7 linked regions of the Sus scrofa genome follow. The protein of the gene in region 7 binds, or shares a complex with, the protein of the main gene of each other region. Links are inferred from orthologs where the notes say so. Each region holds a gene or a part of one and is shown on either strand. Other genes may lie near its edges. The genes, in order: RBL2, CHD4, CDK2AP2, HDAC1, LIN9, LIN52 and RBBP4.

Evidence for each region.
Region 1: RBBP4 (region 7) and RBL2 share a complex: the UniProt entries of both Homo sapiens proteins name them as parts of the DREAM complex. The link is inferred for Sus scrofa from reciprocal best matches to the Homo sapiens genes RBBP4 and RBL2.
Region 2: RBBP4 (region 7) and CHD4 share a complex: the UniProt entries of both Homo sapiens proteins name them as parts of the nucleosome remodeling and deacetylase (NuRD) repressor complex. The link is inferred for Sus scrofa from reciprocal best matches to the Homo sapiens genes RBBP4 and CHD4.
Region 3: RBBP4 (region 7) and CDK2AP2 share a complex: the UniProt entries of both Homo sapiens proteins name them as parts of the nucleosome remodeling and deacetylase (NuRD) repressor complex. The link is inferred for Sus scrofa from reciprocal best matches to the Homo sapiens genes RBBP4 and CDK2AP2.
Region 4: RBBP4 (region 7) and HDAC1 share a complex: the UniProt entries of both Homo sapiens proteins name them as parts of the core histone deacetylase (HDAC) complex. The link is inferred for Sus scrofa from reciprocal best matches to the Homo sapiens genes RBBP4 and HDAC1.
Region 5: the proteins of RBBP4 (region 7) and LIN9 are in contact, whole or in part, in a crystal structure (PDB 7N40), measured with the Homo sapiens proteins. The link is inferred for Sus scrofa from reciprocal best matches to the Homo sapiens genes RBBP4 and LIN9. Residues at the interface, in NP_005601.1 of Homo sapiens: Ala11, Glu14, Arg15, Val16, Ile17, Asn18, Glu19, Glu20, Tyr21, Lys22, Ile23, Trp24, Lys25, Lys26, Asn27, Pro29, Phe30, Leu31, Tyr32, Asp33, Thr37, Ala39, Leu40, Glu41, Trp42, Pro43, Glu75, Pro87, Asn88, Asp89; in NP_001353174.1 of Homo sapiens: Phe107, Arg108, Asn111, Leu112, Lys114, Leu115, Lys117, Ala118, Lys120, Trp121, Ile123, Tyr124, Glu125, Trp126, Phe127, Tyr128, Leu135, Phe136, Asp139, Asn140, Asp141, Phe142, Cys143, Leu146, Arg156, Lys157, Leu158, Thr159, Arg160, Val161.
Region 6: RBBP4 (region 7) and LIN52 share a complex: the UniProt entries of both Homo sapiens proteins name them as parts of the DREAM complex. The link is inferred for Sus scrofa from reciprocal best matches to the Homo sapiens genes RBBP4 and LIN52.

The regions. Positions count from the first base shown.
Region 1 is NC_010448.4:31,799,218-31,803,444, reverse strand, and holds the start of RBL2 (retinoblastoma-like protein 2), read left to right. Parts: upstream 1-1,427; 5' UTR 1,428-1,539; coding exon 1,540-1,779; intron 1,780-2,775; coding exon 2,776-2,906; intron 2,907-4,227. UniProt on the Homo sapiens protein: Key regulator of entry into cell division. Directly involved in heterochromatin formation by maintaining overall chromatin structure and, in particular, that of constitutive heterochromatin by stabilizing histone methylation.
Region 2 is NC_010447.5:64,088,627-64,092,126, reverse strand, and holds part of CHD4 (chromodomain-helicase-DNA-binding protein 4), read right to left. Parts: intron 2,678-3,500; coding exon 2,440-2,677; intron 2,274-2,439; coding exon 2,098-2,273; intron 1-2,097. UniProt on the Homo sapiens protein: ATP-dependent chromatin-remodeling factor that binds and distorts nucleosomal DNA. Acts as a component of the histone deacetylase NuRD complex which participates in the remodeling of chromatin.
Region 3 is NC_010444.4:5,023,844-5,028,055, forward strand, and holds CDK2AP2 (cyclin-dependent kinase 2-associated protein 2), read left to right. Parts: upstream 1-1,412; 5' UTR 1,413-2,321; coding exon 2,322-2,403; exon of another isoform or gene 2,404-2,623; intron 2,624-2,710; coding exon 2,711-2,811; intron 2,812-2,909; coding exon 2,910-3,042; intron 3,043-3,400; coding exon 3,401-3,468; 3' UTR 3,469-3,923; downstream 3,924-4,212. UniProt on the Homo sapiens protein: Acts as a component of the histone deacetylase NuRD complex which participates in the remodeling of chromatin.
Region 4 is NC_010448.4:88,783,166-88,785,720, reverse strand, and holds the end of HDAC1 (histone deacetylase 1), read right to left. Parts: coding exon 2,494-2,555; intron 2,396-2,493; coding exon 2,265-2,395; intron 2,023-2,264; coding exon 1,870-2,022; intron 1,404-1,869; coding exon 1,355-1,403; intron 1,096-1,354; coding exon 1,068-1,095; 3' UTR 501-1,067; downstream 1-500. UniProt on the Homo sapiens protein: Histone deacetylase that catalyzes the deacetylation of lysine residues on the N-terminal part of the core histones (H2A, H2B, H3 and H4).
Region 5 is NC_010452.4:14,139,028-14,142,527, reverse strand, and holds part of LIN9 (protein lin-9 homolog), read left to right. Parts: intron 1-974; coding exon 975-1,094; intron 1,095-1,383; coding exon 1,384-1,485; intron 1,486-3,500. UniProt on the Homo sapiens protein: Acts as a tumor suppressor. Inhibits DNA synthesis. Its ability to inhibit oncogenic transformation is mediated through its association with RB1. Plays a role in the expression of genes required for the G1/S transition.
Region 6 is NC_010449.5:97,380,621-97,384,819, reverse strand, and holds the start of LIN52 (protein lin-52 homolog), read right to left. Parts: upstream 2,801-4,199; 5' UTR 2,464-2,800; coding exon 2,433-2,463; intron 1-2,432. Other genes in the region: ALDH6A1 (methylmalonate-semialdehyde dehydrogenase [acylating], mitochondrial), read left to right, coding at 3,039-3,086.
Region 7 is NC_010448.4:88,985,794-88,989,891, forward strand, and holds the start of RBBP4 (histone-binding protein RBBP4), read left to right. Parts: upstream 1-1,298; 5' UTR 1,299-1,583; coding exon 1,584-1,599; intron 1,600-2,166; coding exon 2,167-2,314; intron 2,315-4,098. Other genes in the region: ZBTB8OS (protein archease), read right to left, coding at 682-778. UniProt on the Homo sapiens protein: Core histone-binding subunit that may target chromatin assembly factors, chromatin remodeling factors and histone deacetylases to their histone substrates in a manner that is regulated by nucleosomal DNA.

The sequences.
Region 1 (4,227 bases), about 57 Mb from region 7:
CTGCTGCGCCACAACAGGAACTCATAAAAAATATATTTTTGATCCACAAATGATTGAACCTGTGGATGCACAACCTTTGCAGACTGAGGGCCCACTGCATCTTTTACATATCATGGGTGTTTTTCTTAATGACCTGTACATATTCCTTTGAAATGTAGTCATCAGGAAGGATATGGCCTCATCTCCCAGTCTCTGTGGGAGGATTGTCTTCTTCTTCTTCTTTTTTTTTTTTTTTTTGTCTTTTTGCCTTTTCTAGGGCCGCTTCCCTCGGCATATGGAGGTTCCCAGGCTAGGGGTCTAATTGGAGCTGTAGCTGCTGGCCTACACCAGAGCCACAGCAACTCCGGATCCAAGCCGTGTCTGCGACCTACATCACAGCTCATGGCAACGCCAGATCCTTAACCCACTGAGCAAGGCCAGGGATCCTTAACCCACTGTGCCACAATGGGAACTCCAGGGAGGGCTGTCTTCTAACTTCAACAAACTGACAACTAGCAGAACCTGGTGGCCTAATCACATTCATACTCACCAATCCTTCCTACTTTTTTTTCTTGAGCTCTGCTCTCGCACCATCTCTTCTCCTTCATCTCTCCTTTAAAACCTCAATCATCTCTGCACAAATCAAAACAGAACCCAGTTCTTCCCCCTAATGTCAGTAGTGATGGAATAAAATATTTTCATCCCTTTCACTGATGAAAGCTTCCTCTTGGAGAAGAGGCTTCTCCAAGGGACCTGGGCTTCCTCACAGTATGGTGGCTGGGTTTAGAGATTCAGTGGAAAGAGAGAGAGAAGTGACCCCATACAAAACTTCAATGCCTTAAGACTCCTAGTGCATGAAAATGTTTTATACTGTACCCCCTGTAAATCCATAAGGATTGGAAATATAGGGATTCATAAAGATTTGAACAGAGATAGCAAAATGAAAATAAAAGAATGAATTTAAAGCAACGGAGTGACTAAGAATAGTACAAATACAGTCACCTGTAGGTGAAGATAAATTCACCCTATGGGGAAAAAAGAATTAATACTTAAAAAAAAAATCCAATAATTACTTGAAAGTCTCACATGAAATTTAAAAACAGTAAAAAACTAAAAGAGACCCCTAAATTTGAATTTAGGCAGACTCTTACTATAATATTTATTTTTTAGATAAGGACGCGCAGGTGATGGGTATTCTGGGGACATCTTGGACACTACACCTTCTCAAGTCAATGTTTCTTGGATGGTTTCTCTTCAATACAGCCCTGCAAAAATGGTCTCTCTATGAGGAGGTACCTGAAATATACAAAAGTCCCTTTTATTTAACCCGGAGGGAGACGACACGAGATGATTTTTAAAATATGATTTTTGATCCCCGTGGGCTGGACTACATTTCCCAGCAGGCCTCACTCGGAACTACGGGTGCCGACGTGAGGTCTAGCGCCGTTGGCGGCGGCGCAGTCTTGAAGCGGGCGGCGGACAGGCGGGCGCTTTGCGGTTTGAATGGCTGCGGGCCCGGGCCCTCGGCTCACCTGAGGACCGGCCGCCCAGGTGTGCACTATGCCGTCGGGAGGCGACCAGTCGCCGCCGCCCCCTCCTCCCCCTCCGGCGGCGGCGGCCTCGGACGAGGAGGAGGAAGACGATGGCGAGGCGGAGGACGCCGCGCAGCCTTCTCGGTCGCCAGCCCCTCAGACCCAGCAACGGTTTGAAGAGCTGTGCAGCCGACTGAACATGGACGAGGCGGCGCGGGCGGAGGCCTGGGACAGCTACCGGAGCATGAGCGAGAGCTACACGCTGGAGGTGAGCCCGGGGGAGGAGACCAGCGGCTTTCTGGGCCTAGTGGTCGCGCCTCGCCTCCGGGGACGGGGCCCCATCTCACCCCGGCTAGGACGCCCTGCGGGGGGATCCCCCGGGCCGACCCCAGCCTTGAGCCGGGAGGGAAACCTCTCTGCGCAGCTTCGTTCTGGAAACCTGGCTCTTGAAAAACTCTTGACGGTCCGGAAAGTGAACCCTGACTCGCTGCTCTTCCCTCTCCGGTTCCGAAGGGAGAACAGCCCTTGCCCTAAAGTAGCACTGCGAGGCTGAGGTTGGGCTGGAGTCCAATTACAAAAACACAACCACCTTGTTGGCAGAATGAACAGGTGCAGTTGTCAAGATCAAGACCATACTCGGGGGGGTGGGGGTGGGGTGCAGGGACTTGCCTACGTTCGCACCGAGATTAACCCGATTTTAGCGCCTGCGTTTCCAGGCTTCTTCAGTTCTTTTCCTCTTGTAGCAAATTGCTTTCGTTCAGGCAGTGTATCCGTTTGAGTACATTGTTAACGTTTCGGGCTGTGTTTATGTATGTGTAAACAAAGACGAATCTTCCGTAGAGCAAAAGAAACGAGCTTTCTGCCTGCCTAGATATAGACTCACGTCTCTAGGAAGTCAGAAATGGGGCGACCTTGGGGACCTTTTGGTCCCCCCAGACATTGCACAGGACTCTTATAGTCGCTGTGATCAAGGTGTGTTTTGTCTCTTTCTTTGGACGGGGCTTGCAGAGGAGAAAAATGGCCATTCTAGCCAGTGAGGCTCTACTCTGTAGGCACCTCCCCTTTATGGGCCAATGGGAAGTGACACGGAAGTCTACATTGTTTATCTGCTGTTTGACTGCCTGTTTGAGTGGTATTTAAACAGGAGGCCATATGATTTTCTTAAGTTATTTTATAGTTTATGGCAAGTAGGCGAATAGGCTCAGAATGGGAAGGTCTAACTGAGGTGTTATTTAACTAAAATCAGTTTTCTTTTATGTTACAGGGAAATGATCTTCATTGGTTAGCATGTGCCTTATACGTGGCTTGCAGAAAATCTGTGCCAACTGTAAGCAAAGGAACAGTTGAGGGAAACTATGTATCTTTAACCAGAATCCTGAGATGTTCAGAGCAGAGGTAACTCAGCTATATTAGAGTTTGTAGTGTGACTAATATAAAAGCTTATAAATCACAGTGACCATGAGAATTCTCTTTATTTATTATTTTCTGAGCATTTGTACCTATGGAGTGCTAAATTTAGAAGCTAGGTCATGGTTTTCCTTTACCACATCTAAGTTAGTATCCATTATATGTTATTTATTTGTCAAAAAGTATTTACATTTTATTTTATTTTATTTTGCTTTTTAGGGCCACACCCGTGGCATATGGAAGTTCCCAGATTAGGGGTCAAATAGGAGCTGTGGCCTACGCCACAGCAATGCCAGATCTGAGTTGCATCTGCGACCTACACCACAGCTCACAGCAACCCTAGATCTTAACCCACTGAGCAAGGCCAGGGATCAAACCCACATCCTCATGGATACTAGTTGGGTTCATTACTGCTGAGCCATAATGGGAACTCCTTAAATTTTAATGTACTGGGCATTTGTATAAAGTGTTTACTATTAAAGGTTATGACTCATCCTTATGTAATATTGGGAGAATTCTAAATAAGGATATTCTAAAATGAAAAGGTAATAAAATATTATATGGTGTTAAATTTAGAGCTACGTACACAAGACTTGTATCTTATATATGGAACATGTAAATACTTAGTTTCCTCTTTGGAGGATAAGCAACAGTGTTATAATCAATTATACAAAAGTTCAAATGGTGTTTTAAAGAGGAGGTAGAAACTGCTTTTTCTGTTGATTGATTACATTTATCATTTATGCCTTTTGAGTTAATTTTCTCAAATTAAAGACTGGTGGAAAAAGAATGTTTGGCATTTTGGAGGAAATACCAAAATTTATCTTCCTAATGGCTTAAAAAAATCACTATTAAAATATTTTACAATAAATTTGTAAAATAAATTACAAGAACTATAATCTTTTAGCTGTGGCCTTTTTTTTTTTTTTTTTTTTTTTTTTTTTTTTTTTTTTTAATGGCTGCACCCATGGCATATGGAAGTTCCCAGGCCAGGGATTGAATTCAAGCCACAACTATGACCTGTGCAGCTGCAGCAGTGCTGATCCTTTAACCCACTGCACTGGGCTGGGGATTGAATCTGTGCCTCTGCAGCAACCTGAGCTGCTGCAGTTGGGTTCTTAACCCACTGCCCCATAGTGGGAACTTCATCTAGTCTATTTATTAACCTTGAACTTCATCCTGAGTTATATTTAGGCCTAAGAACAAGAGGGAGTACATAAAGAGTTGAACACCTGGGCTGTAAACCTGCAAAAGAGAAGTGGTCTTTCTTTTATTTTCTTTTTTTATGGCTGCACCTGCAGCATATAGC
Region 2 (3,500 bases), on a different chromosome or scaffold from region 7:
TTTAAATATATACAAGAGGAGTTCCCGTCGTGGCGCAGTGGTTAACGAATCCGACTAGGAACCATGAGGTTGCGGGTTCGGTCCCTGCCCTTGCTCAGTGGGTTAATGATCCGGCGTTGCCGTGAGCTGTGGTGTAGGTTGCAGACGCGGCTCGGATCCCTCGTTGCTGTGTCTCTGGCATAGGCCGGTGGCTACAGCTCCGATTCGACCCCTAGCCTGGGAACCTCCATATGCCGCGGGAGCAGCCCAAGAAATAGCAAAAAGACAAAAAAAAAAAAAAAATATATATATATATATACAAGAAACTGAAAATATCATTTGTCCTCAAGGAGGGAGCTGGGTGGCCAGAGGAATGGGGTGGGAGAGAGATACCTCTGTATTTTTTGAATTTTTTTTTTTTTTTGGTCTTTTTTTTTGCCATTTCTTGGGCCTCTCCTGGGGCATATGGAGGTTCCCAGGCTAGGGATCCAATCAGAGCTATAGCTGCCAGCCTACACCACAGCCACAGCAACGCAGGATCCGAGCCACCTCTACCACCTACACCACAGCTCACGGGCAACGCCAGGTCCTTAACCCACTGAGCAAGGCCAGGCATGGAACCCGCAACCTCAAGGTTCCTATTTTTTGAATTCTGAACCAGCTGAATTACAGCTGACTCCTGAACAACACAGGTTTAAACTGCACAAGTCCACTTACACATGGATGTTTTTCAGTAGTAAATACAACAATGCTACACGGCCCATGGCTGGTTGAATCTGCAGATATGCAGGAACTACGGATATGGAGGACCAACAATAAGTTGCTCAAGGATCAGCTATACTCCTATTCAAAAAACGAAATCTAAAAAGGCTATAAAGTAAAGAGCAGCCACAGCCACTAAAGAGAATGTGGGCAGCATCCCTGTGTAGTCACTAGCAGAGGTGATCAGTGGGAGGGAGAGTACACTTCTCTCATCCAACCACTCAGCAGGTGCAGTCACCACTGACAGGAACCAGAGCGCCTTACAGGAGGGCAGTTTTGATTGAACACTGTTGGTCTACAGACCCATCAGACTTTGCAGCTACGGTTACACCCAACCGATGTTAGCAGTAGTAGTGTCACTCAAGATAATAGGAAGGTATGAGAAAAACACAGCAAGAGGGATGGTTCCAAGTTGGAAGGATGAGAAAAAGTGGCAAAAATCACCAGCAACCTGACCCAGGTAGCTTAAAGGGGACAGGAAGAAAAAGCAATCTTTTTTTTTTTTTTCGTTTTATACCCTATACTACTTTGGGGAAAAAAAAATCATTACAGAAGCCACATATTTTTCTCCTTTTTAAGGTCACATCCACGGCACAAGGAAGCTCCCAGGCTAAGGGCTGAATCAAAGCCACAACTGCCATCCTCTGCCACAGCCACAGAAATGCCAGATCCAAGCCACATCTGCAACCTATGCCACAACTTGAAGCCACACCAGATCCTTAACCCACTGATCGAGGCCTGGGATCGAATCTGCATCCTCATGGATACTAGTTGGGTTCTTAACCTACCGAAACAACTCCTACAGAAGCCACATATCACTGAGGGCTGTTTTTTTGTTTCTTTTTGCCATGCCCACAACATGCAAAAGTTCCCAGGCCAAGGAGCCAACCCACGCCACAACAGTGACAACCACTGAGTACTTTTTATCTTGTACTAAGAAAACAGAAGAGAAAAAAAAAAAAAAATTCTGTTTTAAAAAGCACAGGAAGATGGTGTAAGTATTTTATCTCATATCTTATCTCCTACCTTTTCTCTGGAGAGACTGGAGATAGTAATCCAAAGTTTACTTATAGAGCTAATAAAATACATGAAAGAAAAGAAAACGAGATTCCGATAAAGAAGAGTTAATATAAAGTTGTGTGAAATGCAGCCATGAATTTCTGGATAGCCACGTCAAAGATGAGAATGTGATTTGCTCATATGTTACAGTATTTCTTTTCAAAGGAAGAGATATATCAATTCATCAATGTACTAATTTGCCTACAGATGTCTCCCTCTTCTCTCAGATACCACTGTGGTCAATTCCAATTTCTGGACCAATCACCAAGCACAGCACTGCCTTGGACTCATACTCACCCCCATTTCTTCCTCTCGCACCACATACTGGGCCACTTTGAAAGAGCTCAAATATTCGTTCATGCCCTGCAATTCCGTATCCTCTGTCTCATCCTGGTTCCGGTCCAGCAGTCGTTCAATGGCCTTATCGTCATAGTGGATAACACTGCTGTCTTCTCCCTCTTTGTTGTCTCCTCCTATAAAGAATCAGGGGTCCACACCCCCAGTTAGCTTCAGCAGCTGCAGTGGAGAAAGCAAGTCCCACAGGACCCAAGGTCTGAGTCTCAGGACCATAGGTACCAGAGAAAGATACCCTTTAGAGAGGCCAAGCCCCAGACCAAAACGAGCTCCTGACTAGCTCACCTCCATCTGTGGCTTCATCCTTGAATAATTCCTCGGTACCAAACTTGAGGATGTCATCAAGCTCCTGTTTGGACATGGAGCCAGTCTTAGAGCCCAGCCCAGGCCGAACAACTAGATGTGTCAGCATCATCTTCTTCTTCGCCACCTGGGTGATGCGCTCCTCCACTGATGCACGAGTCACAAACCGATAGATCATCACCTTCTTATTTTGCCCAATACGGTGAGCTCTGCTAAAAGCCTGGAGTTAGGCACAAAATGAAGCCGAAAATTGAAGTAACTGTATTTTCTTACTTCTACTTTGGCCTTGACTTCCACATAACATACTAAATCTAGCACAAGGTAGGAGCTAGTTTGCCTTCATTCGTACAAAATTTCCTTTTGCACCTCTGCTCCCAGACACCACCCTCTATCATGTTACCCAAAATAGGACCACAGCTAACCCAAACTTTCTGGCTTACAATAAAGTAAAAGACATTTAAAAAGAATATATTGTAGGAGTTCCAGTCGTGGCGCAGCGGAAACAAATCCAGCTAGGAACCATGAGGTTGCAGGTTCGATCCCTGGTCTCGCTCAGTGGGTTAAGGATCCAGTGTTGCAGTGAGCTGTGGTATAGGTGGCAGACGTGGCTCGGATCCAGTGTTGCTGTGGCTGTGGGGTAGGTTGGCAGCTGAAGCTCCGATTAGGCCCCTAGCCTGGGAACCTCCATATGCCGCAGGTGCAGCCCTAAAAAGACAAAAAAAAAGAACATATTATAGAGTTTCCATTGAGGCTCAGAAGGAAAGAATCTGACTAGCATCCATGAGGAGGCAGGTTCAGTCCTGGCCTCGCTCAAGTGGGTTAGGGATCCAGCACTGAGGTGACCCATGGTGTAGGTCACAGACATGGTTCAGATCCCGCACTGCTGTGGCTATGGTGTAGGCCAGCAGCTGCAGCTCCGATTTGAGCCATAGCCTGGGAACCTCCATGTGCCGTGGGTTTGGCCCTAAAAAGACCAAAAAGAATAGAATGTATTGTTTCCCCCTGAAACAACATATTCCAGCTGGTGGGACTCTTACATAGAA
Region 3 (4,212 bases), on a different chromosome or scaffold from region 7:
TGCCGTGAGTGTGGCCGTAAAAAGAAAGAAAAAAATATTTCTGTATGTAACCAACTGTATTTATGTCAAGCTAAACATGAGCTCCTATTGAGAGCTCCAACTCCAATCCATTAGCCCATGGACTATTCTAACCTCCTTCCCTTGCTACCTGTAACTCCTCATTCCAACAGTGAGAAGCCATTCGTTCTACACTTATTTAATTTTGAATTCCAGTGTACGTGTGCAGTGGTTTCAGAATTGTCAACCCATCCCCCATGGGAAACCGCGTCATCAACCAGGGTCCAGTGCTTACGTGCAGATCTTTTTGTCTTTGTTCCTCCAGACTCCACTGATTTCCAGATTAGCACCTGATTCCCCCACCCCCTTCAGTGAGGCTGTTCCTACATTTGCAATACAGCTAGATTCTTTTGTCATATTCTGCTTTCCACCCTCGGATCGCCTGACCTTCTAAATGAAAAAGTTTACTCTTTGGTAACTGTCAAGGTCTTGCATGTACCATTACAGCATCATACATAATCACTTCATGCCCCCCCATCCCCTCTGCTCCCCCTGTTCAATTTTACCCCTCCCCCCTCTACCCAGCACCCCCTCACCCCAGCACCCTTGGCAACCAGTCATTTTTTTTACCTTCTGTATCAATTTGCCTTTTGCGGAATGCCGTACATTTGGGATCATACAGTATGTGGCTTTTTCAGACTGGCTTCTCAGCACTGTGTCTATATCTTTTCAAGGCTATAGATAGATGATTTCCTTTTATTGCTGAATAATAGTTGATTGTATGGCGACTGCTCAGTTTATCTGTCCATTCACCTGTTGAGTGGTGCCTCTCTGGGAAAACTTCTGTGATGTCACACTTCCCCTAAGTTCCAATGCTCCCTGTCCCAGTCTCCACATTGCCTTAGTCCATTGTGTGCTTTTGCTTCCCTGTCTGTCTCTCCTTGAGACTAGGAGCTCCTGGAGGACAGAAGCCATGGCCAGTTCACTTCCATATCAGTGTCCAGCATAAAGCCGAAGATGGGGGATGGAATCAAAATGTTTGCTGAATGAACGAATGAATGAATGTCCTGGACATGACCGGTACACAAAGCCAGAGAGGTTTTGAGAAGTAGCCTGGGAAAAAAGGGTTACGGTTTGGAGGAGAGTCTAAGATCTCAGGTTGTGAGGAATGAGATTTGAGGAGAGGGGTCTGGATAGAGAAATGGATAGGGAAGAGGAGAATGAAACATAAGCATTTTATGACTATTCGTTTAATCCACACAACAATCCTAGGAGATGGTTGTTCCTAGCGTCCCCATTTCACAGATGAGGAAGTTGAGGCCTAGGGAGGTAACTTGCCCAAGGGCAAGTGGGGGTGGGGGCTGAGGGTGCGATTAGACCCATCAGTCTGACCCCAGATGCTGCTGTAGTCCCTGATCCAGGACCGTCCGTGGTACAGAACCCGGGATGCCGTAAGTATTTAAGATTAGCTGTTCCCGCTATTATCATTATGGGGCACCGGCGTGGGGCCTTGGGGGAGGAGGGCAGGTTGAGGTCCAGGTAGTTGGAAGAGGGGCAGGACCCGAGGTCCAGGCAATTGCGAGGAAGAGGCGTGTCAGCAGCATTGGTGAGGGGTCCGTTGCCATGGGAACAAACGAGGCCCTAAGAGGGCGCATGCGCGGGTCGGGGACAGGTTGTTGAACCGGTGAAAGGTGACGTAAAAGCGCACGGGGTGGGGCGCAGGGCTGGGAACGTCAAAGCCCTGCGTCCTCCCGCACTCGGAGCGGCGGAAAGGCGCGCGCGCGCGCGCGGCAGCGGCGGCGACGGCGGCGACGACAGCAGCCCCAGCTGAACCGGGACGGCAGCGGAAAGGTGACGTACAAAGCAACGTGAGTGAGGCGTGAGGACGACAACCGCGCCCGGGAAGCCCCGCCGGGCTCGAACCGCGGCGGACCGGACCCAGGTCCGGCTTCCGAGGCTCCGCCTCTCGCGTTTTGGGACTAATCGGATTGAGAGCGCGCCGGCCCGGGCCGCGAACTCGCCAATTGCGGAGGGCATCGACCACTACCCAATCCGGAGCAGACAGGTGCGAGGTCCGGAAGGCGGAGACCAATCAGAAGCGGTTGCGGCCTGTTGGGGCCGGCCTCGGCCAATGACAAGGCCCGAGTGACGTCTTCGCGCACCAATCAGGAGTGAAGGAGCCTTCGTGCCCGCCCGCCCTTCCGGCCTGAGCTCTATTTACCAGGGGCGTGCTGCCGGCTTGCCAATCAGAGCGCAGCTAAGCGGCCAGGCAGCCAACCCGGGAGGAGCGGCCGGCCGGCGTCTGCCGCACCCAGGAGTTGGGGATGTCCTACAAACCCATCGCCCCCGCCCCCAGCAGCACCCCGGGCTCCAGCACCCCTGGGCCCGGCACCCCGGTCCCTACAGGTGAGGATCCAGCTCCACCCCTGCTCGCCTGTCCGGGCGGTGGAGGTCTCGAAGAGAGGACGGCCTGAGTTCTGCAGTAGTGGGCCTGCCGGCTACCCTCGCTGAGCCTCAGTTTACTGGCCTGTGATGTGGGCGTGGTCACGTAGGGCTTGTTGGTGAAGCACAGGGGGAGGGGTTTGTCCTGAAGTTTAGCAGCGTGAAGCCAAGCATCCCTTTGGAGGTAATCGGGCGAATCTGGTCCGGGGCTTGGAGCGCCGGGACGAGGCGTCCCTACCCCGCGCTGACCTCTCACTCGCGCCTGTTGCAGCTGGAAGTGTCCCATCGCCGTCGGGCTCGGTGCCGGGAGCTGCTGCTCCTTTCAGACCTCTGTTTAACGACTTTGGACCGCCCTCCATGGGCTATGTGCAGGTGAGTGGAGCCTAGGATCTTCCATAGGATTGCCTGTGGAGGAGGACTGGAGCCCCCCTCTTGGCCTGAGCTCACTGCCGTGTTCTCCTTTGACACAGGCAATGAAACCACCTGGCGCCCAGGGCTCCCAGAGCACTTACACGGACCTGCTGTCGGTCATAGAGGAGATGGGCAAAGAGATCCGACCCACCTATGCTGGCAGCAAGAGTGCCATGGAGCGCCTGAAGAGAGGTGAGTGAGGCCAGGCCCACCACCCCTGCCCAGGAGACTTAACACTGGGAAGGAAAGACAGGTGGAGGCCACCTGAGCCAAGCGTAGACTAGGGCCAGTATCACTGTCCACAGAGGCATTTTGCAGTGAATTGCAGCCGAGTCCGTTTCCAGGGAAGGTCCAGAGAATTTGTATTTCACCGGGGCAAATTTGAGCATTAACCGAACCTCTGATCTCATCCAGGCCCCCATTAGGTCATAGTCCCTTTCACTGAAAGGAAAGGGGAGTAGGGAGGGAGGGGGGTCTTCCTCTGGAGGGGGGTGTGGGGCTATGGAGGGTCACTGAGGCCTCATCTGTTCCTTTCCCATCCTCACCCCAGGCATCATCCATGCCCGGGCCCTAGTCAGAGAGTGCCTGGCAGAGACAGAGCGGAACGCCCGCACGTAACAGGACTCGACTCCTCCTCGGCGTCTGGACCTTTCCTGGCCACTGCAGAGCACCTGCTTCTCCCTGGCCTTCACCCCGAGTTGCACTTCCCATCCTGGGCTTCCTGTCCTGTGTCCTTTGGTGGGTGCCCTCCAGGAACCAGTGGGCGGCTCTCACTCCAGTCGGCAGCAGTAACTGGAACCCCCAAAAGAGGGAGCAGTGAGGTCCCTGGGAGTCCCACCCATGACCTGCCAACAGTGTTGATCCAGCTGGGGCTTTCTCCTTTCTGTGGCCCCACCGCTCAGCACTTACCCAGGACTTACCGTTTTCCCAGACCCCTTCTCCCCCCAGCAGAGCCTCAGAAGGCCTGTCGCCTCCCTGCCTCGTCTCCTAGGCCATAACTCTTTTCTCGGTGTGTCTTTTGCTAAATATGCCCTTTTTGTATAAATAAAAGATAATTTGGAGTTGTTCTCTCAGCTTGTAGTCTTTATGAGTCTGCTGCGTCTAGTAAGTCTGGGTGGGCCAGGAAGGAGGGCAAAGAGGAGACTCGGGGTGGTGCACTGGGTGGGAGAGAGGTCCACTGAGCCCAGCTTTGCCTTGCCTCCACTGTCCATTGACCTTGGTGGGACCCTGCCCTTGTCTGCCGCTGCCCCCTGCCTCTTCCACCTGTAAGTAGTAGAGAGGGTTGAGCTCCAGTGGCTGAAAGCCCTGCCCTCCTTCACAGTCATGCCACCAGGGGGCAGCGCAGGGCCTTGGCTGCCTCCA
Region 4 (2,555 bases), about 200 kb from region 7:
TGGGGAGGACAGAGCCCCTGTCTAGGTTTTTATAAATGTCTTACTCAAGTTCGAACCTCCAGCTTGTGAATCAACTGTCTCTTTTTTGACTTGGTAAGCAAGTATTAAGCTTTGGGGTGGGGGGAGGTCTGTAATGTGAAACAACTTCTTGTTGTCTTTTTTTTTTCCCCCTCCCATTGTTGTAAATAACTTTTAATGGCCAAACCCCAGATTTGTACTTTTTTTTTTTTCTTTTCTAACTGCTAAAACCATTCTCTTCCACCTGGTTTTATTGTAACATTTGGAAAAGGAATAAATGTCGTCCCTTTAGTGGTGCTTTTTAATGAGTGGTCTTCTGGGGTAGGGTAAGAAGACTGGTTAACCTCAAGCCTTGAGGAGGGTTAAGACAGGTAAGTCTGTGGGGTTTTTAGGTTGTTGAGGGGTTGCCCAGATCCTCGTGTACACTTAAGGGCAGGGAAGTGGAAGTGAAATGAACCCAGGGATACCACTAGGAGACAGGCTCAGGAGGGTATAGAAATGTACCATTTTATTACAAAGATTCGCACAAAAATGGAAATAGTATCTCAAAAAGGAACCTAGACTACCAATCTTCACCTGCAGAATTGGGGGAGGAAGAGAGGGCAGGCAGTGTGAGTTTCTTGGCTCACTGGGGGGCAGTGGAAAGGTATGAGAACAGAACCAATCTAAAAATGGCTGATGTTACCTTAAGGAGCCTGAAAAAACAAGGAATCCCTGAAGACCCAGTCAACCCTTCTAAAATACTCGACGAGGGCACCCTTTCAAAGTTATTAGTCACGTCAAGATTTTGTCCTATGGCTGCTTAGGTATATCCCTTCCACCTGTTATGGTTTGAAATTAAGAGGTGGAGAGGGATGGATGGTGAGGCAGCTATTAGAAACCTAACACGTGTGCCCTAGGCTCAGGAGCCTGGTTCCTGTCTAGTCCCTGGGGATATTTATATTTAATATATTTTTATATAAATACACAGAAATAGAAAATATAAAATCTGAGGGGTTGTGGGATAAAGACGGGGAACTTGGCAAGAAGCCAGAATTGGAGAGGTCTGTTCAGGCCAACTTGACCTCCTCCTTGACCCTGTGGAGAGAGCAGAGACTGGAATGAGATAACCCACCCTAGAGGCCTTGAGGCCAAGTATGGGTACAATGATTTCCATAGCGCCCGGGCTGCCCAGGTGACTGCTGAGGGCTGGGGCTTCCTAGCTCTGCCTAGAACTGCAGAGAAACACAGACTGGTCCCTGAAAGAAGCCTTTGTAAGCTGGACCAGCTGTCCCTGGTGGTGGGACAAAGGGGCTGGTGCTCCAATGCCAGGGAGATAAGACAGCTCCTTCCTTACCCTTTGGCTTCTTGCTTCTCCTCCTTGGTTTTCTCCTCTTCTGTGACTTCTAGAATATAAGAGAGCAGGGATGGCCAAGGGCAGCCCCTTTGGAAAGACCCATGGGATCTCCACTTACCCTGAAACCCTTTCCCCAACACTACAGCTGGCTGGACATACAAAAGAGAAAAGCCCATCCCAGCCCTCCAGGCGAGCCCTGTAGAGAACAAACAGGTCAAACCGGTTTCCCAGCCTGCTAGAGCCTGAACCCTGTGGGTGGAGGCAGCCCCCTGGGAAAGTGGGGTGGTATCTGAGAGCCACGCTCCTGACCACCGGGAGCCCAGGCATGTCCCTGGCTCTGGGGCCTGGGAGGGCTCAATCAGCCAGTGAAGACGAATTGAGTTTCATCCTTTCGGAGAAGAGGCCTACAGGAGCTGGCAGGACCCAAGTCAGCGCCCTCCTCCCAGTGTCCTACATAAATTCCTCCTCGAGGGCCTGGGGCTCAAGACCCAAGTCCTGGCCCAACCCTAACCCACCTTTCTTCTCTTCTGGGTCCTTCTCTTTCTCATCTTCTGTTTTGACTCTCTTGGCTTTTTTGAAGTTGGAAGAGTTCTTGCGACCACCTTCTCCCTCCTCATCAGAGTCAGAGAACTCTTCCTCACAGGCAATTCGTTTGTCCGAGGAACAGACTGGGAGGTAATGGGAAATATGGGTGAGAGAGAAAATTCTTTATCTCATGGTCTGCCCAGTGCTTTCCTGCATGTTCCCCAAAAGACATCAAAAGGGAAAGGAAGCTAGACTCCTTAAATTATAAGCACAGGACCTCGAGTTTCTCAACAGGTGGTAGCTTGTGGAGAATGTGGAGCCAGGAACAATGCAGGGAAGACAGAATTGCCTACAGAGTGGTAGGGTGGGGGCCCCTGGGTCTCACTTGAGATGCGCTTGTCAGGGTCTTCTTCATCCTCATCGCCACTCTCCTCTGGAATGGCATCCTCAGGAATGGCCTGCATTTGGACCCCAGGTGCATGGGGCAGCATTCTCAGGTTCTCAAACAGTCGCTGTCTATGGCCAATGGTAGAGAGGTGGCTGGGCTCTGATCAGGGACCAATCAGAGCCTCGAATGTTAAACGAGGGGTGTTGGGGTGGGGGGATATACTCACTTGATCTTTTCCAGGTACTCATTAGTGTTCTGGTTAGTCATATTGGAAGGACTGATGTGAAG
Region 5 (3,500 bases), on a different chromosome or scaffold from region 7:
GGCTAAGGGACGAATCAGAGCTATAGCTGCCGGCCTACACCACAGCCACAGCAACGTGGGATCTGAGCCTCATCTTCGACCTATTCCACAACTCACAACAGTGCAGGATCCTTAACCCACTGAGTGAGGCCAGGAATCGAATCTGCATCTTTATGGATACTAGACAGGTTTCTTTTCCACTGAGCCATGATGGGAACTCAAATGTACTTTTAGAAAGGAGTAAGAGAGAAAGAAAATTTGGACTAAATACAGAGCAAAGTACACCAATCTTAAATTTTTTCATTAAAGGATAAAGACTTTAAACCTCCCCTTTCAAAAAAGGAAAATAACTTTTCTGTTTCATTAATGTAATTTCTTTTATGAGATCACCCAAACATTTCTCCCTGGCCAGATAAGAACTGACTTTAATTACAGGAGGTAATATTCAGATAATCTTTAACACAGAGACAACCAAGGTCATAGGTCACTTTCTTTTCTTTTATAAATCACTTTCTTCTGTTTTGTGGGTTCAGCCTGTTAGTTGCAAAGTAGTTATTCATACTCTGACTTAACTTCTATCCCTGGAGTTCCTGTTGTGGCTCAGTGGTTAACAAATCCAACTAGGAACCATGAGGTTTCGGGTTCGATCCCTGGCCTCAATCAGTGGGTTAAGGATCCAGTGTTGCTGTGAGCTGTGGTGTAGGTCACAGACGTGGCTTGGATCCCATATTGTTGTGGCTCTGGCGTAGGCTGGCTGCTATACCTCCGATTCCCCTGGCCTGGGAACCTCCGTATGCTGTGGGTACGGGCCTAGAAAAGATTAAAAAAGACAAAAAAAAGAAGTTCTAGCCCTTTGATCTTTGTGGGTTAATATATTTTATAATAAATCCTAACATGTAAACTAGTGTACATTTAAAGCTGAAGTAAAGTCTTTACAAAGCTAAAATGATTGCTAAAGTTCTTCAAGTTGTCAGGACTGTTCTCTTTTCCCAAAGAGTAATGATTCTCATGAGACCATGCCAATTGCTGCCTTTGGACAAAAACAGCGGCCTTCTCGATTTTTTATGACTCCACCACGGTTACATTATACTCCTCCTCTCCAGTCACCAATTACAGTAAGTAATATTTTTTAAATAGCACCAATAATTTAAATGATTATTATGCATGTAAACTTGTTCTTATGAAATATACATCTGTTGCAGTAACTTCAGGAGGTGCCCACATTATTTTGAGTTGTCAGATATTAAATAAAATAGTTAATAAAACAGTTGCTCCAACTCTGGAAATATTTTTCTTTTTGTAGGGTTTTTAACAGAAAATTATAGTAGAGTTTGATTTTTATCTAAAAATAAGATACTTCTTTTGAACAGTTAATGGTTAAATCATTCCCTTTTATTCCCGTAGGATAATGATCCTTTATTAGGACAGTCACCTTGGAGAAGTAAAATTTCTGGCTCTGACACTGAAACATTAGGTGGTTTTCCAGTAGAATTCCTTATCCAAGTGGTAAGAATTGCTCTGAATATTTTAGTTATTTGTTTTTTAAAAAAAGTCTTTTGTGTTATTAAAGTTGAAAATTTTTCTAGGACCAAATATTTTTGCACTTTTAAAAATTATTGTGTTGGTTTTAAGAACTCTGTTATTTCCAACAAAGCTTGAAAATAAGGGGTAACAGCCAAAAAAGACTTAGTGGTCTTTTTTGTTAGACTTCTCTTGGGTTTGGTTCTTATTATTTTGCGATGTTAAGGACTCTAACATTCTGGCATATGCCCTGTGAAACTGAATGTTTAGTTGTTAATAAATTGTAGACTATAAAATTTTGGAGTTCCCGTTGTGGCTCAGCAGTTAACTAATCTGACTAGCATCCACGAGGGCACAGGTTCAATCCCTGGCCTTGCTCAGTGGGTTAAGGGGGGGTCCAATGTTGCCATGAGCTGTGGTGTAGGTCACAAACGCAGCTTAGTCCTGCATTGCTGTGGCTGTGGTGTAGGCCAACAACTACAGCTCCAGATCAACCCCTAGCCTAGAAACCTCCATGTGCCATGGGTGTGTCCCTAGAAAAAAAATAAGAAAAATAAATAAATAAGTTTTTATTTAGTAACCTCAGTGCATCCTGGCATTATCAGCACCTCAACAATTATGATATGTTGGCCAGCTCTCTGGTTAGGAGGAACTTTCTTTTCTGACTAGAAATAGCTATTCATTTGTTAAGTACTTAGTAATTAGACACAAAGACATCTAATGGTAAATCGAAACAAGTGTAGAATTGTTTTTTTTTTTAATTTTATTGGAGTATAGTTGACTTACAGTGTTGTTAGAATTATTATATAGAACAGTTTTCCTGAATAGCCTGACTCAACTCAGAAGAATAGAATGAGCTCTTTGTTTTGAAGATTATAGTAAATAAATTACTTACTTTGAATCACAGTCTAATCATGTTTGTTTTGTGTCTTTTCCTTTCCTTGTGTTTTTTTTTTCTGTGTGTGTGGTTTTTTTTTTTTTTTTTTTTTTTTTTTTTGGTCTTTTTGCTTTTTCCAGGGTCGCACCTATGGCATATGGAGGTTCCCAGGCTAGGGGTCTAATTGGAGCTCTAGCTGCCGGCCTATGCTAGAGCCTCAGCAACATGGGATCCTTAACACACTGATCGAGGCCAGGGATCGAACCCGAAACCTCATGGTCCCTAGTCGAATTCATTAACCACTGAGCCATGACAGGAACTCCCTCCTTTCCTTTTTTTGAAAAGAAAAACTATGTGGCTTGGATAGAGTCTTTATAAATAAAAATGTGTCTAACAATCCATTAAAATATTCACAGTGTTACCTTTTACAGTTAATGTTATTTTGAGGAAAAGTCTGGTCATTTGTGTGTATGCATATAGTATTTGTTTTCGCTCTTTTTTTTTTTTTTTTTTTCAGTCTTTTTAGGGCTCTCCTTTGGCATATGGAGATTCCCAGGCTAGGGGTAGAATCAGAGCTGCAGCAACAAGGGATCTGAGCCACATCTGCAGCCTACACCACAGCTCAGGGCAATGCCGGTTCCTTAAGTCATTGAGCAAGGCCAGGGATTGAACCCGCCTCCTCATGGATACTAGTCAGATTCATCCGCCGAGCCATGACGAGAACTCCAATGTATAGCATTTTTTATTCTTTAGTTATATGTTGTTCATTATCTTTGGAATACAGAATTATGCCTTTTGGCTTCCAAAGATGGATAAGATATTTTTAAATGAAAAGTTTAAAATATGGAAAGAGTGAAGGCTTATTATTTTCATAAATAGGACACTTATTTTTTAAAGACTTTCTTTCTTTTAATAGTGGAAGTAAAACAGAGCTAATATGTCATATTCGGACAAGTAGGGTGGTGAGGGGAGAAGAGAGAGAGAAGGGAGGGAGGGAGAGACACAGAGACTTACCAGTAGAGGGAGTAAGAAGCTAAATACTAGTGCACTACTTCTAAAGTATTGATATTTTTATTGGTGCTTAAATGTTTGATTGCAGTGCTTAGTTTTAACTTCAAAATCT
Region 6 (4,199 bases), on a different chromosome or scaffold from region 7:
AAGAGAAGGGTGAAGCTCTGTAAAAGATGAGCATGAAACTTTTAAAAATTAAATGTGCAAATAGAGTGTCAGTGGAGATGGCTAGAACACCAAAGGGGAAAAATACACTTCCAATATTCTCCCTGGCCAAAGAAAGGAAAAGAAATTGAGAGAAGATGGGGTAAAATCAAACATGAGGAACAAAACTTAAAAATATAAAAACAACTTTGGTGTTCCTGTCGTGGCTCAGCGATTAATGAATCCGACTAGTATCCATGAGGACACAGGTTCCACCCCTGGCCTCACTCAGTGGGTTAAGCAGCTACAGCTCTGATTCAGTCCCTAGACTGGGAGACCCCTAGCCTGGGAAACTCCATATGCCGCAGGTGTAGCTCTAAAAAGAAACAAAAAAATATATATGTATACACAACTTAGTAATAAACTAAAATTTTTAAATAGCAATTACTTCTACTTCTCTCCCTTGGCTGGTTTTTTAAAATTGTGATAAGATATACACAACATAAAATTTACCATTTTAACCAGTTTTAAGTGTACAGTTCAGAGGCATTAAGTACATTCACACTGTTGGGTAACCATCATCACTATCCATTACCAGAACCTTTTCACTTTCCCAAACTAAAAGTCTATACCCATTAAACAGTAGCTCCTCATACCCTTGGTTAACTTTTTAAATGTCCTTTTTTTCCAGGCAAAAAAAAAAAAAGCACATTTTAACAAGAGAGCACCCAGGCAGAAGAATCTCTTTTGACTCTTTTTTTTTTTCTCCTATATTTTTGCCATTTCTTGGGCCGCTCCCGCGGCATATGGAGGTTTCCAGGCTAGGGGTCTAATCAGAGCTGTAGCTGCCAGCCTACGCCAGAGCCTCAACAACTCAGGATCCCAGCCGTGTCTGCGACCCACACCACAGCTCACGGCAACGCCGGATCCTTAATCCACTGAGCAAGGCCAGGGATAGGACCTGCAACCTCATGGTTCCTAGTCGGATTCGTTAACCACTGAGCCACAATGGTAACTCCTCTTTTGACTCTTTACACCCATAATTTCCTCTGCAGTACGTACCCATGCTCAAAAAACTTAACACTCAGTTAAAACTTAAGACTAAGTAATACATTATTTATGTATATATCTAATCATTCATTCAATAAATGTGAATTGAAGACCTACTTCCTGCCAGGTACTGTGCTAAGCCCTGGGATCCAACTATGAACATGACAGTCTTGGAATTTACAAGCTAGTGTGAAAGGGGCAAAGTTAACAGAATAACTATGCTGTGGATGAGGGTACTGAGATAGAATAATGGTGAAGTGAGGCAACTCCAGAAACAGATACAGTGTTCTGGGAAAGCCTTTTTGGGAGGTGACATTTAAATGAAACTGAAAAAATATTACATGTTTGATTAATCTTTTCCTCTCCCAAAGCAATTAGAATAATAATGCCTTTCGAATAGTGGATCTCAGCATAGCTTTCCAGGCCTCAACTTCCTCATTCTTGAAATGAACTTCCAAGATTCCTTCCATACACAAAATTCCTTTGTTTGAGAGAAAACTAAGTATAAGTGAAATGGACGTGGAGATGCAAAACTGAGTTTAGAAACGACTGCAAGCATTTTGTCGAGGCAAAAACTGAGCTTAGAAATGACTGCAAGACCCTAACCCTAAAGCAGAACGGAGCGCAAAACCCTGTGGATATACCAAAACCACTTAATTGCTACCTCAGATGACTTGCTTCTTATACAACATATAAGCAGAAATCATTCATTCACTCAGCCTTAGGAAACAACACATAACATAGAAGAAAGACGCTGAGTGAATGAATGTGCATGACTACACTAAAAAGCTCAATTGTCATTTTCCTAGGGACTCTCACTGAGAGGGACCAAGAGGGGTCTCCTGCTTCCCTTGCTGCCAGAACAACGGTCCCAATCCGAGGAGGGAGGAGAGAATCACATTTTCCTTGCGGTTCAATCCCGAGATTAGGTCTGCCACCAACCCTAGCTAGCGTGAGAGAATCGTTCCAGATGCTCAAAGAGAATCGAACCTTCAAAGGGGCGCCCTGAGAAAGAGAAAGCTACACTGAGACACCTCCTTTACCCCAGCAGTATCTCCTCCTTGGCCCTCAGCCTCACTCAAATGCGGCTAAAGGAGGACCAGAGAGGCCCTCCTTGTTTTGCCCGGAATGGGTCCCAATCGGGTGCCCTACTCCATCCGCCTGGCACACTGCAAAGAAACTGGGCACCTCCGGAGCCTCTGTGAAGAACCAGCGAGCTGAAGACGCACCCACATACCGTGGGAAAGTAAAAGGGAAAGGCGAGAAGGCCACGAAAAAGGTGTAAGTTAGAGGGGCAGACGGAGAGATTCTCTCTGAGCATCTGTAAGTTCCCAGGAGAACAGAGAAGGAGGTCGCAAGCGAAGGGTCTATAAGCCGGCTCTTACCGTCTGTGGGAGACGCCATCTTCCAACCCATGTCACGTGACGTTGCCAACCGTCGGCGGGAAAGCTAGGGTCCATAAGCCACGCCCCCAGAGAGAAACCCTATTCCCCAACCCTCTGTCCTGTCTCGTTTCCCCGCCCCATAGGGTAATCTTCCGTAGCCCCGCCCCCAGGGCTAGCCACACCCCCTCGCGCTGTGGATGTGCTGGCGCTGCTGAAAATTCTTGCAGAGTCCTATTTACTTTCCTCAGTGAGTGGGTGGGGCTGCGGCCATGCCTGTGGCCAATCGGAGTTCCGAATTCGGGGGCGTCTTCCTCGTGCTCTCAATATAGAGTATCCAAGTCAGGGGCGTCTTCCCCACCTCCGCCAGCAGAATTTGTTGAGGCGGGAGGAGGCGAGAGCTCTATCACTTCTGACCAATCGCATACGCCCAGAACTGGGCACTGAGGGCGTGGAGTCAGTGTTAAGGCGTGTGATTGGCTAGGGGAAATAGTCCTCTCCACCAATGAAGAGGTTCGGCAGGATGGAGGGGCAAGGCCTAGCAGCAGTAGTGTTTCTGGACAGTCTCACAGAAAGGCGTGGGGGGCTGAGAAGAGGCAACCGAGAACCATGGCGGCGGTGCTGGCTGCGGCGGCAGTGCGGGCCCGGATCCTGCAGGCGAGTGAGGGTGGCGCCAAGGGTTCATGAAACTAGGAATTCAGTCCTTTCCATCCGCTTTGTGAACCAACCCCCCCTTGGCCGACCCTCCTATTCCCATCGGACCTGAGCGGCCCTGTCCCACATCTCACTCGGTATCCACTTGCGTTGGATCCAGCCCTGGACTATTACCCGTGGCCTTTTTATTCTTGAGCCTACCCCTTTCAGGCTTTAGACCATTCTCCTCCTCCAGCCGTGCCCGGTCCCTGCCCTCACCTCTGTAGGTCTGCCCACCGTCTTTCCCTTTCACCTCTGCACCAACCACCTCTCTGCTCCAGAAGCTCCTTTTCTGGTCGCCTTTCTTGGCATTCTCTGGGAGCGTCCAAATTGTTCCCTTCCCCAACCCTACTTCACTCTATAACCCGAGGTAAAGGCGTGGGCGGAGGGGAGGAGGAGGAAGGACTTGAGGGGTGAGGGTCAGTGAGTGAACTTTGAGTCTCCTTCTAGAAGTGCACACTAAGCTTTCCCTCAAAGCAGCCATTTGCTGAGCTATCTTCCCCAGCTTTGGCTCTGTATTTTCTTTTTTTCTTTTCTTTTTTTTGTCTTTTTGCCTTTTCTGGGGCCGCACCCGCGGCATATGGAGGTTCCCAGGCTGGGGGTCTAATCGGAGCGGTCTTCGCCGCCCTACGCCAGAGCCACAGCAACGCTAGATCCGAGCCCCCTCTGCGACCTACACCACAGCTCACGGCCACGCCGGATCCTTAACCCACTGAGCAAGGCCAGGGATCAAACCCACAACCTCATGGTTCCTAGTCGGATTCATTAACCACTGAGCCACGACGGGAACTCCGTGGTTCTGTATTTTCCACAAGCTAGGCTGTCCTCTTGGCTTGCTGAGACTTTGAGTTTAACTTTTGCTCAGCCAAGTTAGTGTTTATGTTGGCGGTGAATAAGGACACATAGTTAATGCTACCCGGTTTGTTCCAAGCACATGCAAAGGACTAAACACCTCTGAAACAAGTGGCAGAAAATAAAAGCCAAGGAAAACAGGTGTAACGTTCTAAGTTCCCACTCCAAAATCACCTTAGTGTGACTCAGTTCTGCCCTCAGAGGTGGGGCTGGGAGTGGAGGTGG
Region 7 (4,098 bases):
GACATACAGGGTCCAGAAAGAACTAAGCCTAGTAAGCTATGGTAAATAGTTGGATTCTATACTGAAGACAAGGGGAATTTAATGAAATATTTTAAGCAGGGATATTAGAGTCAGATTAGTCCTTCCCAGACCACAGCCACCTTTAGGGATGATAGCTTAAGGTTTATATAGAACTTCAGAGTCTGCACTACACTTTCACATTTATTTTTATCTCAATTATCCCTCACATGAAGGAACTGAATGCAAAGAAAGGTTATGTGATTTGCCTAAAGTCACTTAACTAAATATGGCAAAACCAGGTCTTTTTACTAACACGATACAGGTAAAACACCAAGTTAGAAGTTCCCTACTGAGAGCTTTCAGTCCCCTAACCTAGCCACACTCTTAGGAGACGACAACTCCGCAAACGCTTGAAAACACGGTTGTGTTTAGAATTAATACACCAATAAAATTCCCACAAAGTAAGCGTGAATAGGCACACGTAGAAAAAGTTCAAAAGACTAAATGTGGAAGCCCAGATTTCCGATTCAGACCGGGTGGCTTTTCCCTTCAGCATCCGCGGGACAAGCACAGAAGAGACAAACAGGGCTAAAAGGGAACGTGCCGGAAGTACCGTAGGGGACAAAGTGGAAGGCGAGGCCAGAAGCCCCAGGTAATGAGAGAAGTGAGACACCTACTCACACTCGTACTTCCGATTGACTGGAGGATACTTGGCCTTGATCGCCTTCTGCTCCTCAGTCAAATTGTAATCTCTAAAATCTTCCCCTTCCAGCGCCATGATTGTGCTTTTGGACCCAAACTCAGCTTCCGCCCTTCTTCAGCTGGACTTCGGCCCTGACTTATAACTTCCGCTCTAGACTCCGCCCCTTGGCACACCCTTAAAGGACCAGGGCTCCATTCCCTGGGAGGTACTTAATCCTTCTAGACTTCCGTTCTGTGTCCCAGGGTTTGGAGCACATCATTAAAAGTCGAAGGACCCACTTTCTGCTCTTGCTTAATAGTTCTTCCTACGACTAAGGAAACAAATAATTTGGAGGACGTGGAATAAGGGACACGAATTAGACACCTTTCGATCTGAATGATAGAGGCCTTTTCTTGCCGCCTAGCCCCACAATAGATAACTAGACCCGGAAGCATCCTACATTTTCCCATCTAAAGTACTACTTTGAAGGGGTCGCTAGCTTAACACCCTTCACGAAAATGGCTGCCCCCAAAAGCGTGCGGACTAAACCTCTCACGTGACCCCGGGCGGGTGCACTTCTACTACTCCCGCGCGCGCGAGCGCGCGCGCGTGATCGGAGGAAGTCGGCTTGGGGCCGTGTGGGGGCAGGGGCAGAGCGCGCGCCTGGGCCTGGAGGCAAGCTGCTCCGCGCGTCTGGATAGGCTGCGATCGCGGCTTCCCCGCCCACACCGACGTTCGGCGCACTCCGATTGGCCGATGTTGGCGCGAAGGTGCGCGAGTCGGCCCTCACGCAGGGGCAGCAGGAAACAATAGAGGCCGCGCGCGCAGAAGGAGCGCTCGCAGCCTCCCCGCCCCTCTCGCAACGCTCTGCCCCAGGATCCCCCCGGCTTGCCTGTACGCCATGGCGGACAAGGAAGGTGAGGGTGCCGGGGCCGCCCCAGGAGGGCGGGAGGAGTCAGGCTTGCGCCGCGGCCTCAACGCGGCCTAACGGTGGGGGCAGGCCAGACTCTGCCTAGGGCCGTCCCCGCCATCGCAGGCGTGAGGAAAAATCGCCCCGCGGGGCGGGCTCATGGCGCGCCAGCCCCTCTGGAGCGGAGGCCCGGCGCAGCGGTGTGAGGCTGGCCGTGGTGGCCTCGGGGGGGGTGTTTGGTCCCTCCCGCGCTCCCCGTCGGTCTACCTGCCTCTCTCCGGGTCCTCCCGGCCGCTCTCCCTACCCGCAGGGGTCGGTGCTCGGTCTCACCGTCGGTTCTGTGCGCTCGACGGCGGGCGCCGTCGCCCGAAGGGCTAACGGAGTGTCTGGTCGGGATTACCCGAGCAGTTCCCGCCCGGCGAAGCTGGAGAGCGGTGGTGGTGCCTGCGCCTCCGGGAGATCTAGACTAATCTCCATTTCAGAATCAGGATTCAGGAGCCGTGACGGTAGCTTTGGAAGTGTTTACTCGGTTTCCGTTTGTGGTCGCTAACTTAATTTGTTCTTAATTTTTTAGCAGCCTTTGATGACGCAGTAGAAGAACGTGTGATCAACGAAGAGTACAAAATATGGAAAAAGAACACCCCTTTTCTTTACGATTTGGTGATGACCCATGCTCTGGAGTGGCCCAGCCTAACTGCACAGTGGCTTCCAGATGTAACCAGGTGATAGGAATCTCTCGAATGCTGTTTTGTTGTGTCCTCAGTGTAGATTTCTCACATTGATTTTCCCTGTTTTCCTCTCTCCAGTCACCCGTAGAGGACACGTGATCAAAGCCTATTGGTGACATTTTTTTCCTAGGCCAGAAAGTAAGGCAAAATGTAAAATTATTTTGCAGTTTAGCATATAAGAGAGAACATACTGATGTTTTCTTTTTATTTACTTGTTTTTATTGAGGTACTGATTTACAATGTTGTGTAAATTTCTGCTGTACGGCAAAGTGATTCAGTTATGTTTTTAAAGTACAGCTGATTTTCCATGCTTCTTCGGTTTCTGTTGTATAGCAAAGTGACCCAATCACAGTTTCCTGTGTACACTTTTTTTTGGATATATATTCTTTTCCATTATGGTTTTCCTAGGACACTGAATATAATTTTCTTTGTTATACAGTAGGATCTTGTTTATTACCACTTTCGTGTAGACTAGCTTATTACATCTGCTAACCCCCACCTCCTGCTCCCTCTCCCAACCCCCTTGGCAACCACAAATTTATTTCCTATATCTGAGTCTGTTTCTGTTTTGTAGATAGGTTTGTCATATTTTAGACTCTCCAATATAAATGATATTTGTCTTTCTCTTTCTGATTTCACTTAGTATGATCATCTAATTGCATCCAGGTTGCTGCAAATGGCATTATTTCTTCCTTTTTACGGCTGAGTAGTATTCCATTGTATATATGTACCACATCTTTATTCATCTGTCAGATTGTTCCCATGTCTTGGCTATTGTGAATAATGCTGCTGTGAACATAGCGGTACATGTATCATTTTGAATTATAGTTTTGTCTGGATATATACTGGGGAGTAGGATTGCTGGGTCATATGGTAACTCTATCCTTAGTTTTCTGAGGCATTTACATACTGTTTTCCATAATAGCTGCACCAGTTTGCTTTCCCACCAGCAGTGTGGGAGATGTTTCCTTTTCCTAACACTGAATTGAATAGTGGGATTATAGCTGTAGTTGACCAAATGGTAATGTAAAACTTGTCAGCTTTCAGAAACTATCAGGATGAGTTCAGTTTTTAACATCAAAATGTTTGAATCTCGGCAGTCAGTGGTATTTTCTAGTTAGTTAATGCAAAGGTAAATGTGACATGGTACCTGCTTTCAAGTCTAGTGAATAGGCAGGTATAATTATGAAAGTGGCAAAGATAAAATGATCAGAGAAAGGAAAATTATCTCAACTTGGAATATCAGGAAAGGCTTTCAGTGGGAAGTGACAGTGTGAAAAGGAAGGTGACTTTAAGTAGTATAAAGCTTTAACAAACTGAGCGTGCCTGGGGGAATAATGGATTTTTTATTACAAAACTGTTGGTGTTCAGAGTAACAGCTGAAAGTTATATGTATGCTAAATAACTAGGTTCCTTCAGAACTCAGGTCTTTTGAGTCAAGATATTTGTAAAATGTGGTTGTTGGCCTATGTTTCAGCTCAACAAGTAATAGAAATTTTATAGAAATTTCATTGCCAACTTAATGAGCATGCTACTTTCGTAGTAGCTTTTTAAAAATGGGGAAATCTGGAGTTCCCGTTGTGGCTCAGCAGTAACGAACCCAACCAGTATCCATGAGGATGTGGATTCAGTCCCTGCCCCTGGCAGTGGATTAAAGGATCCAGTGTTGCCGTGAGCTGTGGTGTAGGTCGCAAATGTGGCTCAGATTCAGAGCGTGGCTGTGGCTGGCAGCTGTAGCTCTGATTCAGCCCCTAGCCTGGGAACTTGATGTGCTACAG